2 linked regions of the Arabidopsis thaliana genome follow. The protein of the gene in region 2 interacts with the protein of the main gene of each other region in a pairwise test. Each region holds a gene or a part of one and is shown on either strand. Other genes may lie near its edges.

What was found.
Region 1: the proteins of AT5G42940 (region 2) and AT1G27690 interact in a two-hybrid assay, tested with the Arabidopsis thaliana proteins (one large-scale study listed by BioGRID).

The regions. Positions count from the first base shown.
Region 1 is NC_003070.9:9,632,297-9,643,379, reverse strand, and holds AT1G27690 (lipase, putative (DUF620)), read right to left. Parts: upstream 6,793-11,083; 5' UTR 6,700-6,792; coding exon 6,298-6,699; intron 6,056-6,297; coding exon 5,705-6,055; intron 5,622-5,704; coding exon 5,073-5,621; 3' UTR 4,479-5,072; downstream 1-4,478. Other genes in the region: TAF4B (TBP-associated factor 4B), read left to right, coding at 1-29; AT1G27710 (Glycine-rich protein family), read right to left, coding at 192-830; AT1G27700 (Syntaxin/t-SNARE family protein), read left to right, coding at 1,628-1,704, 1,901-2,015, 2,092-2,580, 2,675-2,861, 2,961-2,986; AT1G27695 (glycine-rich protein), read right to left, coding at 3,378-3,535, 3,647-3,679, 4,007-4,051, 4,127-4,166; APL2 (ADPGLC-PPase large subunit), read right to left, coding at 8,930-9,031, 9,107-9,379, 9,466-9,552, 9,641-9,721, 9,817-10,002, 10,085-10,178, 10,256-10,311, 10,383-10,466 and 3 more.
Region 2 is NC_003076.8:17,209,259-17,222,609, forward strand, and holds AT5G42940 (RING/U-box superfamily protein), read right to left. Parts: upstream 11,415-13,351; 5' UTR 11,104-11,414; intron 10,001-11,103; 5' UTR 9,914-10,000; coding exon 8,291-9,913; intron 8,143-8,290; coding exon 8,083-8,142; intron 7,958-8,082; coding exon 7,859-7,957; intron 7,771-7,858; coding exon 7,630-7,770; intron 7,544-7,629; coding exon 7,391-7,543; 3' UTR 7,071-7,390; downstream 1-7,070. Other genes in the region: THO5 (THO complex, subunit 5), read right to left, coding at 13-264; AT5G42930 (alpha/beta-Hydrolases superfamily protein), read right to left, coding at 1,480-1,731, 1,860-2,343, 2,467-2,602, 3,111-3,144, 3,973-4,166, 4,591-4,894. UniProt on the Arabidopsis thaliana protein: Probable E3 ubiquitin-protein ligase that may possess E3 ubiquitin ligase activity in vitro.

The sequences.
Region 1 (11,083 bases), on a different chromosome or scaffold from region 2:
TATACAATAGAATCTGCTCGGATGTTTGAAACCAAGAAAAGACATAGGACCAATTCTTTATTTTTTTTTGTAGAAAGGTTCTTATTCCATTAAAACTAATGCCATTACAAACTCCTAAACATGATCAAGATGCTAAAGTACATCCTTATTTCTTCTTCCTTTCACTACCTAAAGCAAGCTGCATGTTTTTTCTAGTTTTTGCCTGATCCCTTCGTGCTGACTCCGCCGTGTCCATATCCTCCTCCACCACCACCGCCTCCGCTGCATGAACCTCCGCATCCTCCACCACCACCGCCAATGATGACTCCACCACCAATACCTCCTCCACCACCAATACCTCCTCCACCTGACCCGTATCCTGGACCACCACCTCCGTTGCCTCCATCCCAACCCAAACCACCACCTGAACCATACCCGGCACCTCCACCAAATCCACCACCGATTACAACACCACCACCGCCGCCACCTGGACCGTATCCACCACCACCATATCCCGGGCCTCCACCGCCGTAGCCACCAGCTGTGAGTTCACCCTTAAATCCGGTTACGTGTCGGATACTCTTTCCAATCTCACTGGAGTGTGCTTCATTCCTCATGAGCTTACTCTCTCTTCCAATCTCACTCGAGCGTGCTTTATTCCTCATGGACGCACTTTCTCTTCCAATCTCAGTGGAGTGTTTTTCATTCCTCATGAGCTTACTTTCTCTTCCAATCCCACTGGAGTGTGCTTCCTTCCTCATGGAGGCACCTTCTCTTGCAGCCTCGGCAATCATATGACCGATGAGACAAAGATACGAGGAAACAAGAAACCACAAGATCACTCTAGCCATGATGGCTGCTTAGTGACACAATTTGTTTGCTTAGAATCTGAAAAAGGAAGTAAAAGGACTTGTGTGTTTGAATAATACACAGCCACAAACACACACCACTATTTATATATCTTGGGACATAATACAACGGTGATGGTTGGCATGGGCGTGCCAGTAGAGAGAGAGAGAGGTGCATATATGGTGACTCACCAGAAAGGTGTAACAGGTGATGGTTCTCATTCGCATGATTTTTCCCACACTTTTTGCTGCATTTTTTCATTATTATTCATTTTGCAGTCTCAAGTTTTTTCTTAAATAAAAGAAAACAAGGAGTGACTCGTGTACCAATCCATTGATCTGATTTGAACATATTGGTTATCACACATATGTTCCAGAGGAAACAATGAATTATGAAACTGTAATAAAATGATTATAACATGAATAAAATTGATAGATAAGTCATAAGTAATCAAAAGTAGGATCATGGCATATTTTTTTCCTTTAATCATACTTTCGATTACTAGTTCTTTTGGTAATTATGCTGTCATAAATAAAGCGTTAACCAAAATGAAGAGAATTAGAGATTATGGACCGGTTTATTGAGAACCACATTGAATAAACCAAACATTAATAGTACTAATTTTCGCACGTGTGTGTAACGAAAGGCCGTAATTTGGCTAATCGATGAACGAACGTTCCCTCTCTTCTCTGAAATCTTTCTCGATCCATCCATCTTCTCCATTTTCCTCCATTTCTGGGTTTCTTCTCATCTTCCAAGGATTAGGAAATTAGTTTGTTTTTTTTCATCTGCTCAAGTGATGACGACGAGTTTGGATCGGTGGGAGAAAGATCCTTTCTTTCCCGCTGCTGAAGAAGTTCAGGAATCTGCCGACAGGTTTGCGTTTTTCGGATCCTCATCTCCCAATTTTCGTTTTGAATCTGTGATACCATAAACTCTCATTGTTGGTGATGCAATGTCGACGATTCGATTCGTGTTGCTTCGGATTTGGGATTACGATTTCTGATTAATCAAATCAAGTCTTAGATCTGAAATCTCACAATGTGTGTTGTTATCTTCGATTCATGTGTAGGATGGAGTCAGCGTACAGGACATGGCTCAATGGGAAACGAGACTCTTCAAAAGTATGGGACTCTGAGCAGCTTCATAGAGATCTTCACGCAGCTCTTGGAACCACCAAATGGCAGGTTTCTTTCTTTCCTCAGAACTCAGATTCTTAATCTGTAATGTTGATTTATGAAACCTGTAATATTTTTGGTGTAGTTAGATGAATTCCAAAAAGCTGTCAAATCTAGCTATGACAATCGTTTGAGTGATGAAACTAGAGATAGGCATCGTGAGTTTACTTTCGTAATGGAAGCTCAAGTGTCGAAAATCGAGAAATCTCTCAAGGAAGCTGCGCAATCCGATGGGAAAGGAACACCGAGATGGGTTCGTTTGGATGAAGATGATCGTAATGAGCTTGCTCTCTTCTTGACTGGTCCATCTGAATCTGCTAAAGCAAATCCTAATGGACATAGAAGGACTGCAAGTGCTGCTGAATTCAGTGCTTGGAACATTGCGGTTTCTGATGATGGTTTAGTGAAGAAATCTTGTGATGAGCCAGTGGTTCGACCTCCGAGGAAAGTACCTAGCTTCTCTGGATTCTTGAATTATATGGATCCTGTGTCCAAGCATTGCAATAGAAAGTGGAAGGGTTTAGATCGTCAAGGAGACTCTGATGCTGCTTTATTACCTATCCAAGCTAACCAAGTAAGTTTGATCGATCGATCTCCAACCGCAAGATTTTTGCCTCCTGCTTTGAAAATCTTTGCTAAGAAATGCTTTTTATTTTTTTGTTTCTCAGCAAGATATGAATGGATGTTCAGAGAGGGGCAAGAGTTGTATGGAGTGTGAGGAGGACTGTTATGAAAAGCAGCTTCATGGTTGGTATGGAGCTCTACAGAGGCAACTCCAACGGTCTCAGTATCGAATGCGATATAGTAAATCGGTTCACGCTGCAATTTGGATTATTCTTTTAGTTTTTCTTATTGGTAAGATTTACTGAACTCTGAATCATTTATGTTTAGAACGCAAAGCTTACTGCATCACTTTTGAGTTTTGAGATAAATTGTTTTTTTTTCTGATTGCAGTGGTAGTTGCAGTGCATTCAATGTAGAAGAGAGGTTTGGAATAGCAAGGTTCGAGTTCATTCATCTTCTGTGTAACAGCGAAAGAGACGAATTTGGCAATCCACATTTTTACTGTACAGTAAATTCCAACTGTTTTTGGTTGTTTGTAATATAGAAATGCATTTTTTTGGTTCGATTATTTGAAACGGGTTTCATTGAGCAATCATTGTTTTCTTAGGCACCAATCCTATTAACCATTGTAGAATTATTTGGGACTAAACCCAAGATTGAAGTGGAACCTTCTAAAAATGACAATTCAGAATACAGAAATGCATTTCGTATTGGATTATTTGAAGTAACCGTTTCATTGAGAAATAAGAAAAGGTGTCAGAATTCTTTTACAATCAATCCGAGCAGAGTATTGAAGCACACGACTGCTTAAGTGGAGTTTTTGGACATGTTAGCCACCACCTCCTCCCGTTTATCGGCAGTCTCTAACTCGATGCCTTGAAATGTAAGTCTAGATGAACGATAGTGACTCCCAAACGCAGTCCCGAAACCCCACCCGAGGCCCAAACCCACCCCGCAACCGCCACCTTTGTCAAATACCAGACGCATAAGTTACGTAATTAGAATTTAGGAAAAACCTGCTCGGTGTGTATCTATGCGAGTGTGGGATATTTGAAGTAGAAGTTTGAAATGCTTACCAGCACCAACACCTAAGATGTTCATAGGCATTCCTGCATGAAAGCAACGGAAATCTCCAATTCAGTAGGTTTGCAAAATAGTATGAATCCATCAAAATGTAAGCGCAACTGATACTAGCTATGCGTTTAAGCAACCATTAGCTAGGAAAGAAGAAGCATTTGAGTAAAGATGATATGTAGGAGTTGATAATCTCTATAAGAGACATTAAGCAATATGATCACAAAACTAAACAAGCACAGCAGAGTGCATTGCACATCCCATAGCAACTAGCAAGAGAATTGTTCCAATAGAATTATCTTGTAATTCAGTCCAGATTTTGTTCAAGTAAAAGCAGAAAAAGAGAGAAGTTGAGAACGAACCTCCAAAACCCCATCCAACGCCAAATCCACAACCAACACCGAACCCTATGAATTCCAATAACTAAATTACGATTCCAATCAAAATTAAAAGGAGAAAACAATTGCGAATGGGGGCATTACCAAATCCAACACCGACTCCAGTGAAGTCAGAGAGCACCATAGTGATCTTCACAAGAAAAAAAAAGAAACCAATTTAGGAATCTATAAATTCAAATGAGCAGAAATTGCGAATCTGAATTACCCGATGATACCTTGTTTGTTGTTGGTAATCGGTGAATCTGGTAGATTGCTCTCTCTACCTCCCCCACTTAAAATCGCAAGCCCTGAAAGCAAGAGAAGAAAGGTGAAGACGATTTGTTTTAGAGACGTACCAAATTAATCGAACCGGTTTAACTAATGAACCGGGATTATTTTCAAAATGATTTTATGTAAAAGAATTTGGTCAACAGTGAACCGGCCTAATTCTTTTTCTCAAGGTCAACAACAGTCAACAGTAAAATAAAACGATCTAGTGAGCAAATGGATCAATCCATATGCAAAAATGCTCATGTCCCATTGAAATCCAACTCACAAATAGGATTTGGATGGTTGAGACAGACAAACAGATAAGTACTTATGGCCATTTTTTGGAGTAAACTAATGAGCAACGGTTTGAAATAGACAGTAGGAGGAGAAATAACATTTACTAGTTTGTGCTACAAAAGAAACTACACTCACACTATGAATTTATTGATATACAATACAAGGAAGATCGTATTCATCAGTTCCAATTGGTATGGATGACCAAGTAATATTTCTTTATACTATATGCTATTAGGTGAAATAGATGGGAGCTTCTATCATAGTATATGAAACAATATTATAAACTAAAAATTGGACTGACCTTACTAAGACTACACATTCCTAACATTATGCGGCAAAAAGAACGAACTTCTCCTGCTGTCTATTTACAACTTCAACGAAACTTCCTACAAGAATTTTAGCTTCGACAATAGCAAAAGTAAAATAACCGGTCTAGGGTTTGTTTTTGAATGAGTTATACACATTGATCTCCTGCTTCTTCACATCAACCATTTTTATGGCCGTGCAATGTCCTAATTTTGGGGCCTTGAGATAAGTCTTCAACGTGGGAATCAAATCTGAGTTCTGAAGGTGGAATGAAGCAATCTATAGACAAGCCAGGGACATTGAACGAGATTTCATCGATGACCCATGCTTCTTGCATTGTGGTCTTAGTGTTATGTCCTGATGACATATCTCCAAACCTTAAAAGCGTAGCCACGGATCTACCAGAGTGAGCTATCATGATACCTTCGACAGGTTTGTAGTCTTCTAGGTATGAGTTGATGGTCGTCTCCCAGTAAACCGCTTCGCCTCCATTGTTTTGGATTCGGGTTAGCTGGGAGTCTTCTAAGTGAACAAGCAGACCGGTTTTTTGGCTGAAGTAACCGAACAACGTATGTCTTATGGTCTCTGATGCCCCTTCGCTTCTAGCTTTGAGTGTTGCCGGGTCTGCACATAGCTTGAGAATGAAACAGTCTTCTCCATCGATCTTTTTTTCTCCTATGCACCTTGCATTTGCAAACATATACGCTGTGGTCCTCGGGTCAAGTCCCTGAAAGTTGACAACAGTAACAATTCAGTTATGCAAGCAAAGAAAAGTGTATGAGAAGGCTTCCTTGGGACAAGAGGCCTAACCTGCAGAGCACGTCGTAATGGTCTAACCGGTCCTTTTGCAGCATGAGGTCCAAGCCATGGTGTGTGTCTCCACACAAGCTTCCCGTCACAACCTGCAAGAACCTTGCTCCCACCAAGAACAAGCTCCATGTACCACATATCAGGATTCATATGCCACAACACAAATCCTCCAGACTCAACAGCTTTTGACGAATTATTCTTGCTCTTTGAACCTTTTGAGCCTGTCTCAAACTCTGAAGCCATCGTCCTGATTCTTCCCATAACATATCCATTTTGCACAGAACTATGAAGCTTTTGACCTCCTGATGCAGCCGTATACTGCTGAAGTATGTACTGAGCAGAGGAAGTCTCCTGAAAATTCAAGTATTAGTAAGAGTCATTAGACTTTACCCTCAACACATTAAAGCAGAGATAAAACTTGATAAATCTCAATTAATTGCGCAGTCTTTCTCCGTAATTAGTAGGCAACTAAAAGAAGATTCAGCTAAATTCAAGCTAGATTATGGCACAGAAGAGCTTAATTCAACATGATTAACTCCAAATCCCCAACACTGTCCTAATTTTGAGGAGACAACAGTGAATTAAGAGCTCACCATAGGTGTATTCTTGATACTGAGGTGTGGAAGGAGATCCAGAGCGCTAACGTGCACAGGACCTAAAGGTGCGCCAAGAACACCGAGGAGAAGCCTCAGATCCGTTCGTTTGAAATCCGAAGAGGACGATACTGACGGCGGAGCCACCGGAAGCTGACATTTCATCCAATTGTACCAACGTCTCTCGAACCTAGAGTAATCACCACTGCTTCCGGAGTCTTCAGCGTCTGGATCAGGACCTTCTATAACCGGAGCAAGCATCTCAGACATGTGCCGGTCCGGTTGTGTGACGTAACGGCCTTTCCGGCGACGGATGATGATCGGAGAGACGCTTCTGACTGGACTCTTGGATCGTGGTCGCCGGGAATTAGACTTGGAGAACAAGCCGTGCTTCTTATCCATAGTCGGAAGAAGAAGAAGGAAGTGTTGTTAGTAGTGTGAGAGAGAAGACGCAGGTTTGGTGATTAGAGAAAAAAGAGAGAAATGTTTGCGTCGAAGGGAAGGTTGCAAAATATAAATGTCGAATTTAATTCGTTAATTCGCTTTTTTAACCATTTCTTTTGGAATTTAATTATTCTTTTCTTATTTTGGCTATTATTTAGGGTTATACACATTTTTTTTCTCGACATCGTTGAAATTATGAATCACTGCTTCTCGAATAAAAACTTTTAAAAGTCTCATTATTACAGGCAAATGGGATTCGGGATAAGATTTAATTATGAAAATTGGTATAAGAATTTTTTTGTTATTTTTTTCTATTGAAATGGTTTTACATTCCATTTATAAGACATAAAACATTCATATTTGTCTTCTTTCTCTCAAGTCTTTTTTTTGGGCTAACTCGTTCCACATTGGATAAGAAGAAAACTTGTTACAGTTTGTGACCACAACAACGAGTTAAAAGGAGTTGCTTAATATGTTTTGATTTTTTCATAAAAGTTGATAATATGTTAATCATTATATATATATATATATATAATACTTTATTTCAAAAGCAGCATAAATTAGTGAGCAATTAGCCTTAAGGAACACGAAAGGCATGCTCTTAGAGATGGAAATTAATTAAAGTCAAAACAAAGCAATTGAGTGTTATATTACTATTTTAACAAAAAAAAAAAGGTGTTATATTACTAAAAGCAATATACAATATAGACGAGTAGGGTGTGCATGAGCATGAGCATAAGTCACAAAAGGTCAACATAACACAAAATTATTAAAAATAGTCTTCCTTTTCTGGAGTTTTCAATTTGATTCATGGGACCAAATTAGAATGGATATATATTTATATGGTTGCTTCTTACTCATTTTCATCTTTAACCTCAAATAACCATTTTCCATGGTACTTCTAAACTCTCAAGTGCGCCTTTGTGTGTTCAAACAGAAAAATAATTATGGACGACAAAAGAAAAAAAAATAACTTTTCTTATGTTTTTTTTTTTTTTTTTGTCGTCCATATTTAGTTCATATAATTGTTTTCTTAGTTTTGTTTTACCAGTCTAAAATACCTTATATCTAGTTTTAAATACCTTATATATAAGTGTTTGACAAAAAGTAAACAAATAATCATTTATAAGATTTTTTTTTTCTACAATCACACACGATTTTGATATCAAGTTATTATAGCTCAGGTTCATTCTTACTTACCAATAACCCTATTGAGCGGACGATCATTACAGCGGACGATCATTACTTACCAAAAACTTGTGTTGTGATTTTGTGCTATTATCTTCACTATGATATGATGATAAAATATTCTCTCATATATCGTCAACGTGAGGCGGGAAGTAACGGTGCCATGAGGCCGAGAGAATATAAAATGAATAAAATTAAAAAAGCAGTCGGTGTATGTAATTATAACTGGTGATGATAAATATTGAGCATGCGAGTTTGGTCCAGTGATAATGACAACTTTTCTGCCAACAATCTTTGGGAGGCCCAAACACACAAATACTAAAATTAAAACCAAAAACAGTCTTATGGACTATATACTTAACTCAAAGGATACTTAATGTGAGAAACCTTCTCTGAAAGTTTACGTTTCATGCATACTTGTATATTTGGGTTTTTGTTTTAACTCAAGAATCAAGATTCAAAATTAAGAAAACTAGGGATGTCCCATATACAGTTGCAGACATAAAAAGTTAGGAGACTTTTTCAGGACTGTTGGCCTTGGATTAATTTGACACTAATTGAGTTGGTGAGGTAGCTTCTAGTGGTCCTTACCTTCTCTAAAGATCAGACCATTTAGTCTTCAGAACCTATTCTCTCATTCTCACTGCAATAAGAGACAAGAGTTTTATGACTCTTTTTATAGTCCCATAAAACTCGAATGAAATATCTATAATTTGTAAAGTGTATATATGGATGGGAGTCTCAAGTCTTGTGTTGTGACTTGTGATCGTGAGAGTGAAGAATTTTACACATGCTTTTTTCTCGTCTGTTTGTGATTGGTTTCTCTCTGTGTTTTACGTAATCATTAAGATTTACCAAGATTAACGATCACGTTTAAAGTTGCTAAAACTGTCATTCGTTTGTGCCTCTTGTTTTATTAAATTATTAATCGAACGTAACTAGTCTCGTTACAAAATCACAAGAAGCCACATACACTGCTCCTAAAGAGAGGTTTAAAAGCTTAAATATGCAGACCATCTCTAATGGTGGCGTTCTTCAGCACAACGGTGATGCCTGATCTTATGTGAAACCCTTCCTCTGGTCTATCGCCTTCTTCCACGCCCTGCCACAACCCAACACAACAAAAAATCAGACAACCATTTCTTCAAAATAACCAAAAAGATCTTTGAAAACATACATCTGCATTCGCTATGACCACGTTCTTCCCGATCTTGGCGTTCTTGTCAATGATACAGTTCTTGATTTTTGTGTTCTGGCCAACCCCTACCGGAACTTTCCCTTCCGCCAAAAGAGACGCGATCTCAGCTTCCGTTTGGTAGAAATCAGCTCCCATCATCATTGTATCCTGAAGCTCTACTCCAGACTCGAGACGTGATCGTATGCCAACGATTGAGTGCTGCACACTGCATTCTCTCAAGAAGCATCCATGTGAAACTATGGAATCAAGTATCTGCAATTCCATAATACACTTTACAACATGAGGATCGATGAATCATTAGCTGAAACAACGGGATAATCGAATTCAAGATATTGTACCCTGCATTTATCAACTTTGGTAGGTGGCAAGAATCTTGGAGAAGTGAAGAAGGGTGTTTTTTGATCGTAGAATTGGAATTTAGGAGGCTGCCAAAACAGAAACAAATAGCATGATTAGGTTTCACTGAGTCACCACCCTGCACTGGAGATGAAACAATAAAGAGTCGGTGAAAACCTGTTCCGTGAGGGCTAAATTGGCATCAAAGAATGATCCTATGGTTCCAATATCCTCCCAATAGTCATTGAACAAAAATGCCTATGTAGCAGCAAGTTAATAAATAAAGGTCAGAGGAAACACAAATATTGATTGATGATGTGATATGCTAAACAAAAAATGAAGAAAAACCAGACCTGAACATTATGCTCCCCTACGGCCAACGGGATAATTTCAGAACCAAAGTCATTGGATGTAGGATAACTTGACCTTAGAAGCTTTAGCAAAACCTCTTTTCTAAATACGTAAACACCCATCGATGCAATGTATGGGGACTCCGCAGCTTCTTTCGGTGGTAAACCAAGAATGGAAGTGTCAACTTGCTGAAAACGCAAAAAACATTTAAGTTCTCGTAATATTGCAAGCAAGAAACTGAACGTTTTGACAAACAAAATAAATCATTACCATTGCCTTTAAGTCATCTCCCTTTGGTTTTTCCGAGAATTGAATGATTTTACCAGACTGGTCAATTTTAAGCAGCCCAAAGTCCGAAGCACGGCTGTGAATAAGGAAAAACTCAAATAAGTTCATCGAATAAACAAGGCAAGAAACAATGTTAATGATCCTCAGACACACCTCTCATCCATGGGAAGACAAGAAACTGTGATATCAGCATTGGACTCAATGTGCTTCTGCAAAGACGAGAAATGAAACAAAGTTTACATGAAGCTCAGTGTGGACAAATAAGAAAAATAAAACTAACCTGCACAAAGTTCATGTAATCCATCCGATAGAGATGATCCCCAGACAAGATCAAGACATGTTCCACATTCTTTGTCTTGGCATCCTACAGAAACACCGCCATATCATGTTTCCAACAATGTACAAGAACACTTACTAAGAGATGAAAGACAAAAGAAGACCTCAAAGACCCATATAAACTGCCTAACAGCATCAGCAGTTCCCTGAAACCATTTCTTTCCTGCATCTCCGGAAGTTTGGGTTGCAGCAAGGACCTAATCATCTCCAGAGGAGAAACTTTAGTAGCAAATAAAAACACAGGAAGATAAATCTAATCTATGGCAGGTAATGGTATCACCTCAACAAACCCATCACCAAAATTGACTCCATTGCCAAAGTTGTAAGTACGAGACAAGTGGCGATTGAGAGAAAATGAGTTGAACTGAGTTAAGATGAAGATCTTTCTAATACCACTGTTGATGCAATTGCTCATCGGTATATCTATCAGCCTGTAACACCCTCCAATTGGCACCTACGATTATTAACAAGTTTAAAACCTCATTGACAATGAATCATAAGAAACAATGGACAAACAAAACAATCCTCACCGCAGGTTTAGCTCTCTTGCTTGTAAGAGGGAACAAGCGAGTCCCAGCACCACCACCTAGTATGATAGACGCTACATTCTTAGGGTCTGCATTTTGAGTTCTCAACAGAGGTTCC
Region 2 (13,351 bases):
ATTGGTAAGTACCTGACGAAGATTGACGAAGTTGAGGAACATTTGAGTGAGGAGTTCTCGAATCTCAGATTTGTGGTTTCCTTGTTTTTTCATGGAGAGCATCTTCGCGACGATTTCTTCTACGGAGGTTTTGCTCTCTCGAAGTAGCTCGAGTGGAGATTTTCCTGGCTCTCGGGGAGGTTGTATAGTCTCTATGGTAGTTACTTCCGGCGTCGGGAATTCGTCGGCAGTTACCATTCCTTCCTCTATTTCGCCGTCCTCCATTCTCGATTTCTCCAGTCAGGCTCGCTCCGGTACTTCTGACAGGATTTATGATTTTTCTCTTCTTCTTTTTTTTTGTTCTTTGTTTTTTTGTCAAACTATTTATGATTTTTATGTAAACTATATTTTGTTACAAATATTATATCTACTCCATGATGGGATGATAATTGCGTAAAAGAGATTATGTAACATTTTTTTTCAGAAAATTCTGTATAAAGACAAGAAAAAATTTGGTTTGATATCAAAAATATTATGTAAAAAACACCAAAAAGGAAACTACTTGATAATTTTGGTGAAGGAAGAGAGAGACATATCAGATATGTCGTGGTAGAACAGAGGTTTGATCAATCAAATAGCCTTCTATGGTACGGAAATTTTATTGAGTTGTAGCTAAGCCTTATAACTAGATTTACCACTTTGCGGATTTGGATTTGAGTTAATATTCTAAAAGTTATCTGTGTTTTCGTAAAGTCCTCTGTTTCAGACGTGATTTAGACCAGAGTGTATTAAACAAATTATCTCGAGTGCACCTGCGGTCAGATCATCACTAAACTTTGAGGTTAGCTTCAGGACATCTTGAGGGTTGAGTTTCAACGGTGGAGATTTGAATTGGACGGTTAGATTGCGATTCGTGACTCAATATTTGAGACCAATTGTTTGGGTTATTTTCAGATTTTTTCCAATTTAGGTTAAAGGTTGGTTTGCTGTTGTAGTTGGATGTATGGTGAGTTGAGATATTGTTGGTGAGTAGGAAGTTACTGCTCGTTGTGGGATTGTTGTTTTTGGTTTCAAAATCATTCTTGTTTCGAGGTGGGTATGTGACCATGAGATTATCTAAGCAATTGAGATTGTGTGATTTATTTGTTGTATGTATAGGCAGTATTTTTGGTACCATTATTCAATCCCCCGAGATGGTTGTGTCAATGGATGATTGTTCATTGGTTTGATTTATTTCATGATTTATTTGTTGATTGTTATATTGGTTTGCTTGTGTGTATAACTCGCAGGTAAGAGAATCGTTTCACTAAGTATTTATTGAAATATTTATGCATTTCTTTTCTTGATGCAGATAAAGATAAAGTGAGACGTAGAATCATTGCGAGAAAGAAAGGATGATCTAAGGCCAAAATAAGAAAATAACACCTACATCACCGAAACGAGACCCTAGAAAAGCTAAACACATCAACTTTTCAAAAGAATTTATGACTTCGTCAAAATTTAATCAAGATGCGAGTCAGGTAAGTCACCTAAAAGAGTAACATTGATGTACTCATTAGGGAAGTGAGCAGGTAATCCAGGAATCAACAATGCAACAACCCTAAAACACCTTAAGAACCATCCTTCTCTGAACTCTCCACCTTTCCAATAAGGCATGACGAAACTACGTATCAACTCCCACAGTGCATTCATTATCTTTGGTAAAACCCATACGAGATTAAAGTAGTTTTTGTTTGGTTCCTCTTCCTCTACCTGAACATAATACAAATTAAACAACAACAATGTAGATAGATATCATCAGTAGGGTAAGTGCGTAAGCGACATTAGACGGATGAGTGATTAAAGCAAAGAAACAAGATTGTCATATATATGCAACCAACCTTTCCTTTATAGAAACTGTCATAGTAAAGGCATGCCCCAAAGTGTTTAAACATGAGTGTTTTGTCGTCGAAAGGCAACCTAGGAACCATGTCGTTGCAATAAACATATCTTTCATACTTCACGTCAAACTTCTTTAGTGAATCTTTCATGAAATTTCCAAACTCCTCGTCGCCTACGCGTGGCTGTCCAAATGTGTAAACTCCTTCTAGTCTCTCTAGCATTTGCTCCTCATCATGCATCACCAAAACAGCCGTGAATAGGATCGCTAAAGCCCCACCTAGGCTATGTCCGGTCAATATAAATTTAGATGTCGGGTTTTGGTCGAGGATTTCTTTTAAGTGACGCCTAACAGTGTAGTATGCATATAGAGTTGTTGCGTTTTGGGTTTCGTCAAGGTTTACTTCTTTAGGCCATCCTTCTTTTTGAAGGCCCAAAGCTTTCATGAACCCGCCATGAATCTTTCCCACATTCTTAACCTCGTACCTATTTTGGAAATCAATACTAGTTTTATTAGGGGGGCTAAAGGATGAACTTAAAGAGTATAAAAACAAAAACCTAGACTGTTTGTGTGTGGAAATAAATTATAACAAAAGAAACTAAAATTACCAAGAGAGATCCAGGTCTGTACACCAATCATCGGCATCGAAAGGATCAGTGCCTCTGAAACTAACGATGATGAGGTTTGGATCTGTACTTGTGTCCTTTATAACAATCACCTCCGTTGATCTTTGTTTCTGGTAACCTAAAAACCAAGGAAGAAAAAATAAATTAATTTTTTTTGTTTATATAATATAAATAGAAAAATGAATTTGATCTTAAAACTGTATATGAAAAAAATGAAAAAAAAAACTGTATATGAAGTATTTTAGGAAAATTTAAATTCTAGAGAATTTGAGGTTATTGTCTCTAAAAATTTTAAATATTTTAGCACACATAGACAACTATTTAAAAGATACAAACATAAAATTTCTAGTCGTAATTTTATGTTTAATTTAGAGGCAAAAAGGTAAGAGAATTTAATCTTTTTATAAATTGATTTTTAGGAAAGACAATATATAAATTGAACTAAATATAAAGTTTTTTGGTCTATCATTGATTTGAGTATTATTATTGGAATCAAATTCTTTTTAGTTAAGAAAAATAATATATTGCACATTTCAGACAGTGTTTTCACGTGGTATTTGCCTTCTTCGGACCCATTAAGTTAATTATTCATCAATAATATAAAAAAAAAAGGGAATTAGTCTCACCATTCCAACAGCTGTAGAAACCTAATAAGTCCATCTGTGCCACATTTAATAAAAACATAGAGATTATAAGTCCAACACAATTATTTCATGATTTAATAATCAATGGAAATCATGCATGATCATGCTATTAGATAAGTTAAATAATTGGACGATGGCAGCTAAATGAGATTATATATGCATTAGTTGTCGTGTCTTTATATGTAACTAACTTTAAGCGAGGAAAATCTTCTCTTTTTTTACTTTACAAAGGAAAACAAAATAACAATAAAAAAAATGTTATTTAGAAAAGAAAAAGACTCTAGAATTATTATTTTTTAATCCCAAAATTGATTGTTATCATCTATAGACATTATATATAGAAGATGATATGTAAGTTTTGCTAGTACATATTATTAATTTCTTAAATTCCAAATTCAAATCCGTGTATTGTATATTATTGACAACAAAAAGTAAAATAATTTTTCAAACAAAAAAGAATCATTTTTCATTTACTAGGCAAACGAAATTATATTGACTGTGACTAGTGTGTATAGCATAGTAAAAGTATGGAGAAAAACTAGAAATTCAATTTAACAGAAGTTATTTTCTTCAATATGTTACGGGAAAGGAAAATTTCTCTTTTTTTTCTTCCAGCGGATATAGAGTACTGTGTTTTATATATATGATTGGTGAAGTTATAATAAAATGTCGAAGAAATTCAGTTTCTTAATCTATTTTTATTACCAGTCATATTCAACAAATTTGATCCAAAAATGCATTTTAATGATAGAACGTGAATTTAAATGAGCAAAACAAAACTACTATCGTTTTCTAGCAACATGTAAAAGTTGTAAACAACAAGGAAAAGATTAAAGAATAAAACCTTCCAATGGTTGTGAAGAACGGAGCTGACAAAGTTTATATTCTCGTAAGACAGCTTAGAAGCCATAATTGACAACATTGCTTTGTATCTTTTACTTCCTCTCTCTACTTTCGGGTTTAACTCTACCCGCCGGTCTAGGTTTCCGTTTAGTGATGCAAACGTCGCTGATGCTTTTTCCGGCCAAATAATGTTTCCTAAAATAGTTACAAAATAATATATTTGTTAAAAGTTAGGGTCTACCTCACGATATTCATACAGCGGATTTCGCACAAAAAAGGTTATAAAATTAAGGTAATCGCATTGGTGTCACCAATTGAGTTTTATTGTAGGTCATCTCTCAAATTTGGTTTCAAAATTCAATTAATTAAAAGATTATGATAAAGCAGAGAACCCCATTTGGAGTAACTTACAACCTTAATGTTTTGTCTAGTATAATTCATAGTAACCATCAATTATTTGTATATTATCTTCGTTGTTCCCATTTGGGATTTCAAAATTAATGAAGAAATTCTAATGTTTCGACGTTGAATTTTACCTTTAGTGTAATTAACCGAACGTATACCCATTAGCTCGAACTTGTATACAAAAGAAAAAAAATATCTTAAAAGACAATCTTACCTTTGAAAAGATTTGGGAGTATCATCAAGAAACCACCATTGGAAGAAAGAAGGTTGAGCCAACAAGCAAGAGAAAATCCAACAAAATAGAGAGGTTTCTTAAAGAGAATTATGAGTTTTTGAATAACGATGGATACAAAGATAATCCACCGTCGCCGGAATCTGGAAAGATCATCCTCAATCCTCTCTTCCGAAGAATGGATGAACTTTCTATCTCCGAGATCCGATGAGAAGAGAAGATGTATAAGATCCGAGACGGTGGCTTCTCTCGGATCCAACACAAAGTAGTTTTTGGTTCTAGACATTTTTGTTTTTTGGGTTGTGGTTTAATCGTCAACGTTAATTAAGCTTCAAAACGTGGAAGAGTTGTTTTGCAAGGTAAGTCACGTTAGCTTTGTGTACTTATAATGTTAAGAGTAATATAATTAATTTCATATTAAGCCACGAGTCTATGCTTTTGATTTGTTTATTGTATAAATAAATTATGATTACGATGGTCGTATCAAGAAGGTTGGTGTATATCCACAAGTCAATATTATTCACACATGCGTTGTATGGTAGGCTTGAGAGTTGAGACGAATATGGTTTGACAAATCTTCAAGGTATTAAGAACCCATATTGTCTTAATTTTAATTAAAAATTTAAAACTCGATAGAGTCGAGACATTTCACTCTATATACTTTCTTTTTTGGTTTGGAATATATATCACGTAAAATCCATCAATTTAAAGCAGGTTTTCAAAATTTTATTATTACTACAGTAAAACACATAAAACTTCAACCTAAATAATTAGAAGACACTTTTATAAAAAAAAAAAAAAAGTAGAACACTTGCACTTTAGTAAGCTATATTTAATTGTGCGGCATAACTTTGGCACCAAATTTTGTAAACTCCGTTTATGACCATTATAGAAGTTTGACCACGTGCTAAAACGCAAACTGATTTACTAAACTCCATTTTAATTAGTTTATGAACTTTGTCTTAATTCTCCACCTGTTTAATATATACAACAAATGAAATCAAAAGAGGAAATTTGGGTTTGCGAGTAGGATTATAGTGTTCCGAGAAAGAGTGAAATCGAATTCAACTTGAAGAATTATAGTATGTGTTTATGATTTTGGATGAGGTAAAACAAAAAAGAAAAACAAAATCAATACAAATTCTGAAATTTTAGCCATTGATAAAGGTTGATCTATATTCACAAGCCAAACTTATTCTCATCACGAGGGTTATATGATTCGAAGGATCTGGTACTAAAAACATATATTGCCTCGATGACTAGTAGTAGTACTTGGGTCGAAATATTTCAATACACCTTATTTCTTGAAAAATGTTGAAAATACCATACTTTCACCAGATATTCACGGTAAAAGGCATTCGGAATCTACTACAAACTTTATTCATCTTTAGTTTCAGACGTGCGTACAACCGCGAAGAGTCATGAACATGATACTTTTTCTTGTGTAACACTCAACAAACATTAGTATATAAAATCTAAACGATAAGTAACTTAGCATAATGGAATCATCAATAAATACATGCATCCACATGCAATTTCGTTTCAAATTTGGTAACACCGCATAATCGCCTAATGACATAAGTCGCAGAATGAAAACTCGCAAATGAAATAAGCAACTGTCACAGCTCTAGAGAAGATTGAGATTCGTATATCCTCCAGGACCGTTTACTTAAGTCAACATGTGCCGTCGATAAGAATGGGACGTCATCAACATTTCTCTTAATGATTTGAAGACTAGCCTCAGTTTCTTTAGTTTTCTGCATTTGACTTTGGACATGATTGAGATCCGTAAATCCTCTAGGATTTGTTGGTTGTTGCATTGGCAAATTCCAATATGTTGGTCATTGCTTTGGTAATTTCGGCTCTTCTTAGCCTTGTTGTATATTGGAGGGCTACTATTTCTAGGAAGACTTTCAAATAGAGTTTGATTTTTGATTTGTTCTCCTTAGTATATATGCAAAACATTTCTAATTTAGAGTAACAAAATTGAGAAAAATATTGTAGTCCGGAATGGTTGTGATGGTTAGGACAGACAAATCCATTTGTTTGAAGAGATTTTCGTTTACCATTCATAAACTATAATCCGTTACTGTTTTAGTCCGCTTTGCCCATATCTACCATTCAAAGCGTACGTGTAATCCTTTGCATTCCTCTACAGTTCTACTATTTACCATAAAATCTCTTTTCTTAAAGTCCCATCATACGAGCATAACAAGTTAAACAACACACAACTTATTTCTCTCAATCTATTCATTTTATTCTTCCAACTAAATTTTTACTCAACTTGTTCACCTTATTACTCTGCCTCTTAAGGGACAACCATTTGCACATATCCAACTTGATTTTGTTTCTCCAAAATTGCAACATTTTTGCATCCTAAAACTTTTGTAACCAATTAGAGCAAACTAGGTAACTCAAAACAACATATGGGCTTTCAAAGTAAGTATTCTCTCAAAATCGGCTGATTCAACTTCCTGCTTCTTTCAAAGGATTCATAAACTTAATTGACAATGGGTAAAATTAAATTATCCAAACAAATCCATAAAAGAAAAAAACAACATTTCCCTACCACCCTTTATCTTTTCCCTTCAATCCAAATCTTTCCATCTTTCATACTCAGATTATAAATACGAACAAATTCTATCTTTTTTTTAAAAAAAATTGGGGACAAACTTGCCTGGCTCTGCAATGGTGTGGGGGCTTGAGGGTACCTTCTGTTTCTTTCATTTTTGATTATAAAATTGAATAGTTAAGAAAAAAAAAAAGCTCTTTCGAGAAATCATCATGCTATCCTCCGCTTCTTCGCGGTGTTCAAGCCTGTAGTCTTGCAGATTGGGCAAAGATTCTTCTGTTTCAGCCATTCTTTAATGCATTGGCTATGGAATTCATGCCCACATTCTAGTGTCCCCATGTCTTCTCCTTCGGTGTATTCCTCCTGCACCAAGTTTTCACCATTCATACTCGGACGAAAAACAATCTTATACCTTTTAAATGCTATTTCAGTAACTAGTATATTTTTACCTGACAAACACAGCATGGCTCTGCATCTTGTGGAGATTTTGTGTTGCTTTTGTATTTTCGTTGCTTTAACCGGTTTGATATGGTTTCCTCGTTTACACCGGTACAAACATCTCCAATCCGCTCTTCTAGTGCCAACAATTCCTACAGTTTATGAACCAAAAGGAGTTAGATTTAGTGATTTAACGTGACTCAGACAAAGATTTATGGTTCACTATGGTTTTTAATTTACCTCATATGACATGTTGTCCACATCAAGTCGCATGTCTCTATACCGGTCATGACCAGTAGCCCCATCAAATAGTACTGAGTGATTTAGAAGCATAACGTCCTGGAAAACAAGCATCCAGATTATTTATGTTCCAGTTATTAGGCTAGTTCATCTAGAAATCAACAGAGACAGACACAAGACAAGTTCGAATTTAGATAACTTCGCTACAATCAGGAAAAACTAACCTCAAGCCGCAAGTTGTTATTATTAGCATCCCTACGCATGACATCCAAGACATTCTGCATCTGTCGGAAAGAGAAACGTATTGTTAGTTCTATTTGAGTGACTGCTGAAGAACAAACAAATGGTATTTATGCGCAACTGAATGAGCCAAAGTTAACAAATTCCATCCACGTTAAAGGCTACATGCCAATAGAATTTGTATCGACTGACCTGGGACACCATAAGTCTGCTTCTTCCTCTGCTTGCAGCTGCCAAGGCCCGCAAAGGATGAGGAATACCAACCACACTATCCCCTTGCCTATCAAACAACGGACCTGCTCTCGAGTAAGCCCGATTATGCATCTGACTATTATCACCACCAGGCTGAAGCACAAGCCCATCCGAAGAGGCAGGAGGGGCCAACGAACGAAGTGTTGGATGATCACCAGATCTCTGGTTTGTAGCATCTGCTGCAAGGGAAGAAAGCAAGGACCTACGTGCAAGTTCAGACCTTTCAGTCCTTCTTCTTTGATAATGTGGTGAATTCTGGTAAGAAGTCCACGCTAGATTAGAAGATGGTGGTGGTGGTGGTGGAACACTTGTTGTTGAGCCTGTCCTGGACACTGATGATGCACTATTCAGGTTTCCATTTGTTACATTTCTGCTACTCTGACTACGGGCAAAATTTCCTACCTCAGGAGCTGCAAACATGGGAATCTCAAGAGTATTCCCGGGTATGCTTCTTGACCTGGTTTCATCTAGATGAAGATTTCTCTCAACGGGCGCAGTAGAGTTCGATGTTCCACCCACTAGTGAGCTCCCAGTCCACCGAAATGGTGGTAGCATAGTCCTTGAACCAGGTGGTATGCTCACAGGAGTAGAATTTGGGTTACGAGAAACGACAAAAGACTGTCCAGGTCTCAAGTCCAATGAATGCTGATCTGCTGGTAAGTGTCTTGACAAGTTCAACTGGGATGGAGGGACAGGCCGCCTGACAACAGTTCCCGCAGCAAAGGTAGATGGGTTTACAGTTTCTTGATGATCTGAGGGATTACTCCTGACGCATATATTTCTACTGGAGCTCTCTGCAATGGCAGAAACAGGAAAATTTGGTGCAGAAACAGGAAAATTTGGTACAGTACCGGAGACCATTCCTCTTGGTCCATTGTCAAGGGAGCCAGATATGTTTAAACCATTTCCTGGCCTAAAAACCGTAGAACCTGGGGTCCACGAACTGCTTTCTCCACGCTGGAAATCATGATAACCTCCTGAAGAAGATTGACTAATACTGCCTTCAAGAGCTTTTCTTTTGCAGGATGCACGACGTCCCTCTACAGAAGAACCTGTTCCAACACCGTTCTCTTCAAAAGATCTGCCAGGTTGTGAGACCCTGGTCCCTGGTCCATTAGCTTCTATGAAGCCAGACCGACCTCTATATGGATTAATATCCTCGTGAATTTCTATATACTCTGCATTCAGATTGACATTCTGAACAGGTTGATTTGTGCCTGATGGCTGCGCAAACACTGGGTCTAAATCAATTATTTCATTTCCTCGTCCGTCAAAGCATCTTGTTTCCATTCGTTGCTCATTGTGACTGGAAGCTTCATCCTTCGTGCCACTAGAGCTAGCCTCACCAAGGCTAAATCTGCGTAAACCCTGTTGCTCGTGATAAACTGAGTTTGCAAGCGAAGTATTTGATTCAGAATTTGCAATCATGTAATCCTGCAAGTCATTATCACCAAGACTGTGAATATTCTCCCAATGATCTATCACACCATTACTTGAAGAAGAACCATGCTCAAAGTTCAAGGCCTCTGATAAATAGCCAAGACTGGCCCTCTCCCCCTGCATCTTGGCTAAGCTTTTAACCACAGTTACACTCAGGAGAAGAGAACTCACGAGACTACCCTGCCCTCAACAATGTGCCTAATGGGGAGACTGCAAAACAACAAAGACAGTAGATCTTTCAGTAACAAAGACAAGGAAAAGGCTTCTACACGATGTCAACTGTAATAAGAAACATATAAACACACTCAATCAAAACATAGCTCCTACAATTGTAATAATAAATGGCACCCTGAGATTGCATATACAGTCATATAATCTGCTTCACCTAGAAGAGCACAAGGTGCAAAAGTCACTCAAAGCAAGACCGCTGCAACTACTACTAAATGCAACTTACTTCTAGATGCGACGCCTAACTAAAACACAAATGATTCAGTAGGAAACTAATGACACATGAGTTATTAACAAGCTTAAAAAATAAGAGGACAGATGCGATAGAAAATTCATATGATCAACCATTCTAAACACAAAAGAACTTCAAGTCTAAATTATCAAATTGACACCTAACTGCCAACTTCGAAACAAAGCGTCAATGAAAATGAGGTACAAACAAAATCCAGGACCACGTAACAAGCATGCCAATTTTGAAACAAGGAAAAGAGTGAAAAACATTTTACTCAACTACCACCACAATGGCAATTCAGAAAAACAAGAGAAATATCAAAATAAGCACTGCCTCATCAATGACATATCAACTACCCATAGATGCAACAGCGTATGAAGTTTCACAAATCCTCAATACCAAGCAAAGATGTATTGAAACAGCAAGGTAAAAGCAAAGACAAAAGAAACCCACAGCTTGAAGATAAAGCATCATCACAATAAAAAACAATTCAAAAACCTCAAAGAATCAAACTTTCTCATAAAACAAGCTCATAGAAGTAAAGATCCGATTCAAACATCTAAAACCCAATAACAAAAAATAATTTTTTTACCTTCTGATGAATAATAAATTCACCACAACAACAATTCTACAGAATTTGACACAAAATTTCAAAAAAAAAACTATTTTTCAAAAAACCCACCAACCGATTCTTATCTATTTCGATCGAGCTTTGAAAACCCAATAGAACCCAGAAAAGACACAAAAATCAAAATCAAAACCAAAACCAAACAGATACAGAACATAAATCGATCTAAGAACAATAAAAATCAAAACTTTATGAAGATTCTTAATGAAAACGAAAGAGACTCACCGATTGTTGAAGAGAGAAACCTACCGCTTTGTGGTGGAGGAGAAGGAAGAAGGAGAAGAAGAGAGAATGAGGAAAAAGGAAGGAAGCAAAGCACAACAACACAAATGGGAACAGAAAAGAGGATTATTAGGACGAGACGGCAATGTGTAATTTACCATATAACCCAAAATAAAAACTAATATTTTAAGGAAATTGAATCAAAAAGTTAAAAAGGGTCAGTCATAAGAACAGTTTCCAAAGACTGAATTGAATTGCTAAATGCCTAAATCAACGAATAAACAAAAACTAATAATTCAATGTGTAAAGATTTTTAATTAATTACAGTTACACGTAATGTGTAATGTTGAAGAAGAAAGCAAGTTGGCTTAAGAAGAAAGAGTTAATAGGATTTTTCTTTTGGGTCATTCATTAGTCATTACTTAAGCAAATTGTCCCAACCAAAAGTTTCTCAGCCTTTGCCTCTTCCATACACACGTCCCTCGTTTGTTTTACTTTTATTTGTTCATACTGAACTAAACCGGAACTTAACCGAGCAGAACAAATCCGGTTTCTTTTCGAACTTTTTGTTTCCTAGTTGTCATGTAACTTTGGTCTACTTTCTCCTTCTGTTTATCTTTTTTATTTTTATTGTTTATTTTCTTCCATTAGCTTAGATTCCCCATTTAAATATATGTACAAAAAAAAAGAGTATACGTGTGGATCAGAATCACTAGTTACCTAAATTTGGTACTGGCAAGATTTATCAATTTATGAATGGTCTTTCTTTATCCTATATACAAAAGAAAGAAAAAATCTAAAAATATTTTTTATTTGAGTGCATCATGTTAAAAAATATTTTTATTAATAATATTTACTTCTAGTTAATTGGTCAATATTGGTTTTATTGTTTGCAATCAATGCGTGAACTGTAATAAAAAAGAGAGTATATGTGTGCAGATTTATTAACTTATGAATGGTTTTATCCTATCCTATATATATAAAAGAAAGGAAAAAAACGAAAAAGGTTTTTTTAGGGTTAACAAAAAGTCTATGTGTAATATTTACTTCTAAATTTTGGTCAATATTTTATTATTAGCAATCAATTTCTTTATTATTTTCTGAACTGTAAATAATAAGGTTCATCCCCTTAAATAAATTTTATCTTCTTGAAACGTTTTTTTAAGAAGAAATTTCATTCTATTCATACATAATATTTTTATATTTTAAGAAAAATCATTTTAAATTTAATGTTTTGTTTAAATTTTATAAAATCCAAATATGGTTGCACATTTTAACTTTGATATATGGAAATTAAAGTAATTTCATATACCCCTGAAAGCATAATTTAATTTTAATTTTTGAAAAGTATTTGAATATTAAAATTTGTTTTGGGATGTGAAATGTTTTTGAAGGCATATGTTGATTTCATTGTGAAAATCAAAGTGTCTTTGTTTAATTAGTGAAACCACACACATGATTATAACCATCTTACTTTGAGAGATTCGAAGAAGAGAGAATTTCTATATAATGTTGTAATTGATCATGATTTAAATGAGTTTTTATATACATTTTAAAATGATTTGGTTTAGAGGGTTACTTCTCTAATTTTTAGAGAGAGAATTGAATTACTCAATATGGTAGAGAAAATTTTGGTCAAGAGTGAAATTTTTATATCTAAGTTCGACCATCTTTGGAAAAAAAACACATTTGTCTGAAAAGTGTGTTAGTTGGGTTTTGGCTAAATTCTAACTGGTTTACATGGTAGTTAGAAATGCAGGCGGTCTGATTATCCATGAAATTCGGAAAACACTCCAAACTTGGGACAAACTTTATGGTGGTCTTTCGGAGAGAAGTCTACTATAAAACAGGTGCAATTCTACCGACCAGATCAGCTGATAGGGTTTATCAAAAAAAAAATTAATTTTAAAACTTTATAAAAGCTACTTGTCTACAATTCTTGATAAAAGATGAAGCATTGGATAAGCTGCTAATCAAAGCTCACCAGTAAAAAATGATCATAGACAAAAAAAAGTGGATGGAACATCTGAAGCACATGCACTAGAAGTAGCAAATGAATCTTTCGGATTATGCGCATGAGCTTATTCTTTGGATCTAGCTATTATATAGCTCATTGGATATCAATGGCCATAACGAAATAGTAAATCACATTGGTGGTCCAATAGTAGCAAGTTAAAGTTCAAAAAGAAGGAGGACGGAAAAATTTTCACAAACCTGCATGGAAAATTTATTGATCTTCTCCTCTTTGTTA